Linked DNA regions of Ovis aries. The protein of the gene in region 2 purifies or fractionates together with the protein of the main gene of each other region. This does not show direct contact. Links are inferred from orthologs where the notes say so. Each region holds a gene or a part of one and is shown on either strand. Other genes may lie near its edges. The genes, in order: SP1 and KLF6.

Region 1 (3,810 bases), on a different chromosome or scaffold from region 2:
CCTAGATTTTAAAGATCTTTTCTACTTACACTGAACTCATTTAAATTACACTTATAAAATCACACTAGAGAAAGCAAATGATGCTGAAACATTTGATGTTATAGTCAATAGAAGTATATTATTTTAAAATAGAAAATTCTCTTGTATGACCCTTTGCACTAGAATGATAATTCTGGACACATTTAAACCAACTAAACCCACTTAACACTTATGTTCAAATGAACTAGTCTAAAATACAACTCTGTTAACAAAATAGGTCTCAGCAATCTGACCCCAAGTTTAGCGACACTGTTGGCAGACCAACTCTGGTATCGCATTCAACTTAACTTCTAAGAGGAGACATTTTCCTGACCCCAATAAAACTAAGCAGATGTGAAATTTTTATTTTTAGTGTCTGAAATTTGCTTCATGAGTCAATTATAGCTATCAAGGAAATATGTTTTATTCTCTTGCCAAAGCCCAGTCCCGCACTCTTTGTTAGGCAGAACTCCCACGAAGTCATCCAAACTAAGTCTTTCAAAACTGGCCCCTCCTCAACCTTGGGGAAGAGTTTTTTGAACTTAGCCAGGGCTGAGAAAAAAGTCTGAAGCTTGAAGCTTAAAAAAAAAAAAAACACAAAAAACCTAGAACCGAGATCAGAGCGTATAACTACCAAATGAGAGGAAAAGAGTGTTGATACAAGGATAAAGGGGACAGGGTGTTAATTTTTTAAAAAAGGAAAAGCTGCTCACTTAAAAAATAACAACAAAAACTAAGAGCCAATAGATCATTCCACGGGTGGTCCCTACTTCACTATCACCCACCAGTGGCAGAACTGTGAAAAACAGGAATACAGAGATGGGTGGCTGATTTGGGGTCTAAGTTTGTGCCTTTGCCTGTATATTCAAACTAACAAATAAATATAATAAAAGTCAACAAGAGAACTTAGAAAAGTTTTAAAAGATGACTTTTAAAAATAATAAATGTGGAAATTCCCTGGCCGTCCAGTGGCTGGGACTCTTCAATTTCACTGCTAGAGGTGGGAGGTGGGGGTGTAAGGGTTCAATCCCTATTTAGGGAACTAGGATCCTACAAGAAGCCATGCGGTAGGGCCAAAAAAAAAAAGACTAAATCTATTAAGTGACACAGAAGCTGCAGTCTTCCACAACCATTTAAAAATAATGGCTCCCTTTGCAGAATGCTATCTACTTACCTATCTTACAACATGAGCTCATATTAATCGCTCTTTCCACTACATCATACTGCCAAGAGGCTGAATTTTTCTAATAAAATAACTATATACCAGAAAAAGGGGTAAAATGAGAGACTTTGTAGCAGCCAGGCAACAGCTAAAGAGCACTAAGCTTCCAGGAAATGACTGCATTATCTTTCATTAAGGCTGAAGTCAGATCAATTGAAGGGGAAAACATGTTGCACAACTATGACTAACCAGAAAGGAGGAAACACATATCTTCAAAACCACTATTAACAAAGCAATCTCAACTCTCACAAAATGGCCTTTCAGAGCTTCATTCTCTTCTTAGTGAATGTCAAGCTGCTACTATCTTATAGAAAGGCATGCGTTTTCTAGAGCTCAGAGACCATCAATAACAGCTAGGAAGGTAGCCCTATCCTATGACAAAGTAAATGGCAGACTTCCCCAGACCATGATTTAGCAATGAAAGTGTCTCATAACTGTTCCTTGGAGCTCAAGTTATCAACCGTTTACACACTGCAAGGATCCAAATTAATACTATCTGCAACAATCTCAATAACTTGAGACCAAAGAGAAAACAAACACACAAACGTAGGTTGCCCAGAAAGTGTCTAATTTTCAAAGCTGTTAGGTTCAGTTTTTATAAACTCTTCCTATTTCTACTCACATAATTTTTAGTCTATAAACACTTGCCAGCTCTCTAGCCTTAAATTCCAAACTAACAAAAGATATATTTTCCAAAAGATTTTTAACAATTTAAAGCATGTCCCAAGTTGAAACATGACATCTCTTGTCCCAAGTTAAAATTAATAGGTAATGGATGCGCCAGACTAGAACTAACAGTGAGTAGTCTCATAACATACGTGCTTCCAGTATCTCAAAGTCCTTATCGGGAAAATAAGGCAGGAGTATGAGATGATTCCTAAGGTCTCTTTCAGCTCTAACCTTCTATTTTAAAAATTCCAATTCACTAACAAAATTTCTGTCTGTTAAGGCTCAAAATGTAGTAATTTTAAACATACAAGACTGTAAGAAAGCAGTGAACTTGAGCAGAACTCCCCACCACAGATTTTCCTAAGCTGCAGGAAGCAGGAAATATGGTTGCCTATTTGTTACCCTCTCTTACATAAGAACCAATCTAAACAGAATGAGAACTCTATAATAAAAGTAAACAATTAACAAATCCACAGATACACCAACAGAAGTAGAAGTTCAGTGGTATTAAACTTCTCATCATAATTTCTATATATCATGCCAGAATATAAAGATGCATATGTATCCTAACGTGCTTCATTAAAGATTAGTTCTATCACCATGAAATTTAAAATGATAAACTCTAAATAAATTCTCACCGTTTTAAATAGAGGTTTTAAATTTCAAATTAACCAATACTAGTAAAATACAGTTTAAAATAAATGACTGAATAGTAGTGTCAACTGATTCAACATACATTCCAATATATACATCCCCTTCCTTGACAATTCTCTTTCCCCCTCAAAGTTCTTACTTCTAATTCCTCTCAATTCCATCTCCCCACTCCACTCTGTGCCCCACTTCTGTTCTCTCCTACCTTTCAACCATACACTAGTTTCAAAGCAGTCTAGAAAGTGGCTCTCTAATCTAGAAAGTATTAGAATCACTACCTAGGAGGCTTAAGAAACAAAACAGAAGAAAATCACCTAGGAAGCTTATTAAAAATACACATTAATACTTTCAAGCTAAGTAGGAGTTGAAAAAATTAAACCTCAAAGGGTAGCTCTTCTGGTTAACTAAAAGATTAACCAGGGAACTTAGTTTGTTGAAGTCCTTTGGAATCCATCAGTTTTCCCCTGCTTTCCCCTGCTTTCTCACAGTTTGTGAGAAATATCTGATGATTTAATAACTACCCTACAGATAAGTTTATAATCCATTCCTATCAGCAGAGAAGAACCCTCAAGCCAAATAAAGCCCTCAAGGTAAGAATATTTTATATTTTTAAAAGGTTGCAGAAACAAAAAAGTACACATAACTGAGAACTTATGTGGCCCACAAGGCCTAAAATATTTACTATCTGGCCCTTTAAAGAAAAAGTTTGCCCACTCTTGTACTGTAGTACCAGGCACTGAAAGTACAGACCCCAAGGACACTGCCCAGAAATGCTCCTTTCTGGACAGATTAACTGAAGAGGAAAAAGTTCTTATTAAGTCAGCTCCAAATGACTTAAAATCATTGCTATTTCTCTAAATGACTTGCCCTCAGAAGCACTGCCCTCAAAAGATTCTACTCCCTCTTCTTTAGACTCAGTGGTTTCAGCTGAGATGCTAAGTAGCTCTAGAGATAAATGCACAAGATTTCAAGTCTTACCTGAGGCATTTGCTATCGCCAAGGGCAGGCTTGGAAGCTGGTGGACCTGGATTCCTGAAGCACCCAATGCACTGAGGTTAATGGTCTGGAGGCCAGGCATGGAGGAGAGCTGAGCAGCATTCACAGTGACTGTGCCGGCAGGGATGGAGGCAGCTGAGGCAATAGGTGTAAGGGTGGTATTGCTGCTGCTGGTCTGCCCCAAAGAAACACCCTGCATTGGGGCCAAGGTGATTGTCTGGGCTTGTGGGTTCTGAACTTGGAGGTTCTGCAGC
Region 2 (4,305 bases):
TATCTCTAAGAACGGGACACGTTCAGAAGGAAAACCAGGGCGAAGCCTCTCCCCGCTTTCCCGAGGTGGACCGCAACGGCCACGAATGGCTGATGGCCACAGAGGAGCTGGCTTCTGTTAAGAGTTACAGTGTTGACGTTTCTAATGAGTTTCTGTTAGCCACACAAAGGACACCAGCCTCCGACACCCCCACCCCCACCCAACAGGTTTAACCAGATTATCAGACAGCCTCCAGAACCCTGTGCATGAAGGACACCCAGGCAGCCTGCTTCTGCGGGCCTGCTGCCCGCAGCACGGTGAGCTCTGACATGGCCATGCGTCCCCTCTGGAGAACCGCTGACAGCACAGGCCGCGCCCAGCCGGGGCAGACGCAGCCAGGGGGACGTCTAGGGTCAGGAACATCAACCGAGCTGCCCAGAAGCTACCCGTTTCCTGTGGAGGAGCCCAGACCTTAGTAGGCTTTCAAAGAATGCCATTCCCAAGTGCAGGGCCATGTGCGCACACAACTTAAATGACTTCCACAGTGGTCAGAGGAAAACAACAACAGGAGTGGAAAAATGGCTCCAGAATGGCCATCTGCTTTTGCAAAGGATGCGGGAGGGGAAATTCCTTTCCCGGCCCTGCTGGGAGTCCCACAGTGGACTAGAACTTTATCTGCTGGCCAAGAGTACAACTGTATGAGTCATCACTCTATTTCTTTCACGCAATGCCAAAGGAGACTTCCTTTTGAAATTCTGACCAGCGGCCAAAAAAAGGACCCGGTTCAAATATACATGCAGTGTGTCATGGACAGAGTGCCCCCCCCCAGCCCCACAACCAACCTTTCCAGAAGCTACAACTGCCGAGACACCAGCATCCCCTCTCCCCACCATCTCAAACTTTCTAGCCACTGGAAAAGAAAAACGGTAGGAAACATTTTAGGATTAAATTATGTCTGCCTTATCTTCACTAGGATCAACTGCCTACATGTCCATATAAGGTTGTCTATACAACTGCAAGTCTACAGATTTACATTGCTACAGCAAACGCCACTCTCTTTTTTAAGCAAATCATTTTCAGGGCTAGCCAAGCCCACCCAAAGGGCTCAGCCTTGCTTATTTAGCAGGGTGTCTGCAATCAGAATATATCCTTCCCCCCTCCCCCTACCAGACTCTTCACACCGCAAGCAGGAGCAAGCAGAGGGGGGAAAAAACAATCATTGTTTTCTTGTTACCCCTAAAATTAGACGTCTAGGTTACAAAGCACCCTCCAGTGTTCTGAGGAGAGACTGGCAAGGTATCTTATGGATGTTCCAAAGAAAAAGGAAAGCATGTTTACTGAGACCTTGTTAAACTTTAATAATCTGGCTAATTTAAAATCCCCATTATGCCTAGGAGCACTGGGGACCAGAATGAAGCTCTTGGGGAGAGTTTAAAAGCCTCTGAAGGCAACCCAGAGCTCAGCCTGGCTTGTGGCCCAAATCCCAAATGCCCAAGGAAACTACTTAGATCGATTTCAATCACATCCTAGGAAGCTTCTTTAGTAGGAAAAGCTGGGAGGGGAGAGGGAAGGGAGGGCTGTGAACAATGAGGCAGGCATGTGAAGGTTGTTCCACTTTGTATTTCATCCCCCTTAAAAGCCTTCTAAGCTTTGAAACCCACAGAATATATGCGATCTGCTAATTCACTTTGTGACAAAAAGCAAACAGCCTAGTAGGGCAGAGACAACCCCAAAACCCTCCTATCTTTTAAAGACAATGGGACAAGTGTCAGAATCTCTCTCCTTTCAGGCAATCCTAATGCAGGAGAAGGGGGAAAAATTGAGTTTTTCAAATGTCCAATGCCCCAAATTCCAATTCCACTAAAAAATGCCGCAAACAGACTCCTCTTCCCAAACTGAGACTAGAAGCAATTCGGACAGGCTCATTGTCATATGACTGATAAGTCACTGGTTGTGCAAACATTGGTCCCCCCCCCTTTTTTTTTTCTGGTCAACAAAAGAAGCAGGTAAGAAAAACAAGGCAGATGGAGGCAAATCTTAAGGATTCCCAAGGTAAAGAAACTAAAAATGGCCTGGTAGAGAAAAGGAGCTTGTGGGTGTTTCGCTGGTGAAATTCTTAAGTAAAAAAAAGAAAGAAAGAAAAACCTGTATGTACAAACACCAAAAAAGCAAAACGAAAACAAAATCCCTAAAAAAAAAAAAAAAAAAGAAGAAGAAGAAGAAGAAAAAATAGCCTTGGCAGTACATGCGGGTTCATATGACCAGGTCCAGCTGTGGAGAGCCTGGAGCTGGAACAAGCACCAAACTTCTGCCAAGGGCTGGGGCCGAGATCAGGCCGCGGAGCTGGGTCTACGCTCGGGAGACGGTTCAGCAGCCCCAGAAAACAGCAAGAACACGGGGAGCGCCCGGCGCCGCTGCGCCCCACTCAGATGACAACTCCGCTCCACGCTCTGAAAGGCCCCTTTAAAGTGCCTTCTGCGCCGGAGGCAAAAGTACGTTTTAACAATAATTATTTTAATTTTTTTTTAAAAATTTACCCAAACCATTAAAAAAAGAAGAAAAAGAACTGCACCTCCAAGCTCACACCGTCCTGCGGGTGCATGCACGCACTCCATGCTCGGCGCACCGGGACACCTGGCTCACGAAAATCCTTATTTACCTGTTGCCAATATTCCTCCAGGGAGGGCAGCGCCGAGAAGTAACCAGTCTCGTGCACAATCTGGAGTTCCTGGAAGATGCTGCACATTGGGAGCACATCCATGTCGGGTTGGAAGAGACCGTCCCCGCTGCTGTAAAAACAGGGAGGCGTGCAGTCTGCAGTCGGGAGCGCGGCGGCCGTGCCTGCAGCGCCGGGGAAGTTCATGCAAACTCAAGTGGGCAGCGATTAGGCGCCACGGGTTCGGGTCCTGGCCGGAGCCCGGAGACGCGCTCGCGAGCCCGCACAATATTTGCAAACACCGGACTGACTGCAAACGTAACCCCTGCAAAACTTCCCTATTCAAAGCTCCGCTGCCAGCCTCCCCTCCTCCCCGCCCAGCTCCCCCCGCCGCCGCCTCCCCACGTGACTCGCCCGCGCCCGCCCCGCGCGCCGCCCAATCACGCCGCTCCCGGCCCGGGGGCTGCGCGGCGATGATGTCAGCTCCGGCCAATCGCGGGCGGCGGCTCACCGCGGCCCCGCCTGGCGTGACCGAGCCTCTCCATCACCGCCTTCGCCATTGGCAGAATTCGAACTTCGGCCGGTTCTGATTGGGAGGCGGTTTCGCAGGCTATTTTTAGCAGGGTATATAAGGCGCGGGCTGTCTCGCGCCGGAGGAGTCGGAGCTGGGAGGTGCGCGGCCGAGAGGCTGCGTGCGCCGCGGCCGGTCGGGCCGAGGGGACCCGGTGTCCCTGCCCTTCTCGTCCCGGTCTCGGTCCTGGCCCCGGTCTTCCCGTCCTCGTCCCCGAAGCCCTCGTCCCCGAAGCCCTCGTCCCCGAAGCCCTGGTCCCCGTCCGTCGGGCTCATCGCCCGGGCCCGGCCTTGGTTTCCCCGTCGTCGTGTCCCCGTCCTTGTCCCCTCAGCCCTGGTCCACGTTCGTCGGGTCTGTCGCCCGGGCCCTGGTCCCCTGACCCTCCGCCGAGCTGAGGGGAGCGCGGCTGGGTCTCCTCTGTCCCTCGCTCCGACCTCGGGCTGGCCGGCCGTTCTCTATCCCCCTCCGTCCTTCCACCCTCTCGGTGCCCCCTCCTGCCCAGCTGTAGATTCCCGTCTCCATCCCCGTCTGTCACCCTCTTTCCCCCCTCCTTTTCGCTCCATTATCCCTCTGTACCTGCCCCGTTTCCATCTGCACCCACCACCCGCGCTGTGTCCCCCTCCCTCCCCGTTCCATCCCCCTCTGTCCCCAGGTGGCACCTGTGACCCCGGAGTGGGGGGCTGACCAGCCCTGCAGGTGTGCTGAGGGACAGGAGGGCCCTAGTCGCAGGGCTGTGTTGTATATGAATCTGAGTTTCCCCCTTCAGCCTCCCTCACAAGGACAGGGCACTTACCTGGGGGACCACGGCGGTGCCACATCCTCACCCCCGCTGCCTGCCTAACCTGCAGGAGCAGAGTAGCCTGGAAGACCCAAGTTGGATCTCCTGGCTCTTGAGGGGGTTATGTGCACTCTTGATTCTCCCGAACACATTTTTATTTTTAAAAAGAGGGCATCTTGTTGGGGCAGGTGGGGTTATAAATAGAGGGAGCCTATAACCAATCTTAGTAGGGTCCCCCATCCACACCAGCTGTGTATATTTTAGAAACCCAGGGTCTGATCCCAAACCTACAGAGTCCTGGCCATTGTGTTTTAATCAAGC

What was found.
Region 1: the proteins of KLF6 (region 2) and SP1 purify together in Homo sapiens (affinity purification with western blotting, with the first as the bait; 3 studies listed by BioGRID). This does not show direct contact. The link is inferred for Ovis aries from reciprocal best matches to the Homo sapiens genes KLF6 and SP1.

What each region holds. Positions count from the first base shown.
Region 1 is NC_056056.1:133,122,109-133,125,918, forward strand, and holds part of SP1 (transcription factor Sp1), read right to left. Parts: coding exon 3,539-3,810; intron 1-3,538. UniProt on the Homo sapiens protein: Transcription factor that can activate or repress transcription in response to physiological and pathological stimuli.
Region 2 is NC_056066.1:44,181,017-44,185,321, reverse strand, and holds the start of KLF6 (Krueppel-like factor 6), read right to left. Parts: upstream 2,950-4,305; 5' UTR 2,843-2,949; coding exon 2,639-2,842; intron 1-2,638.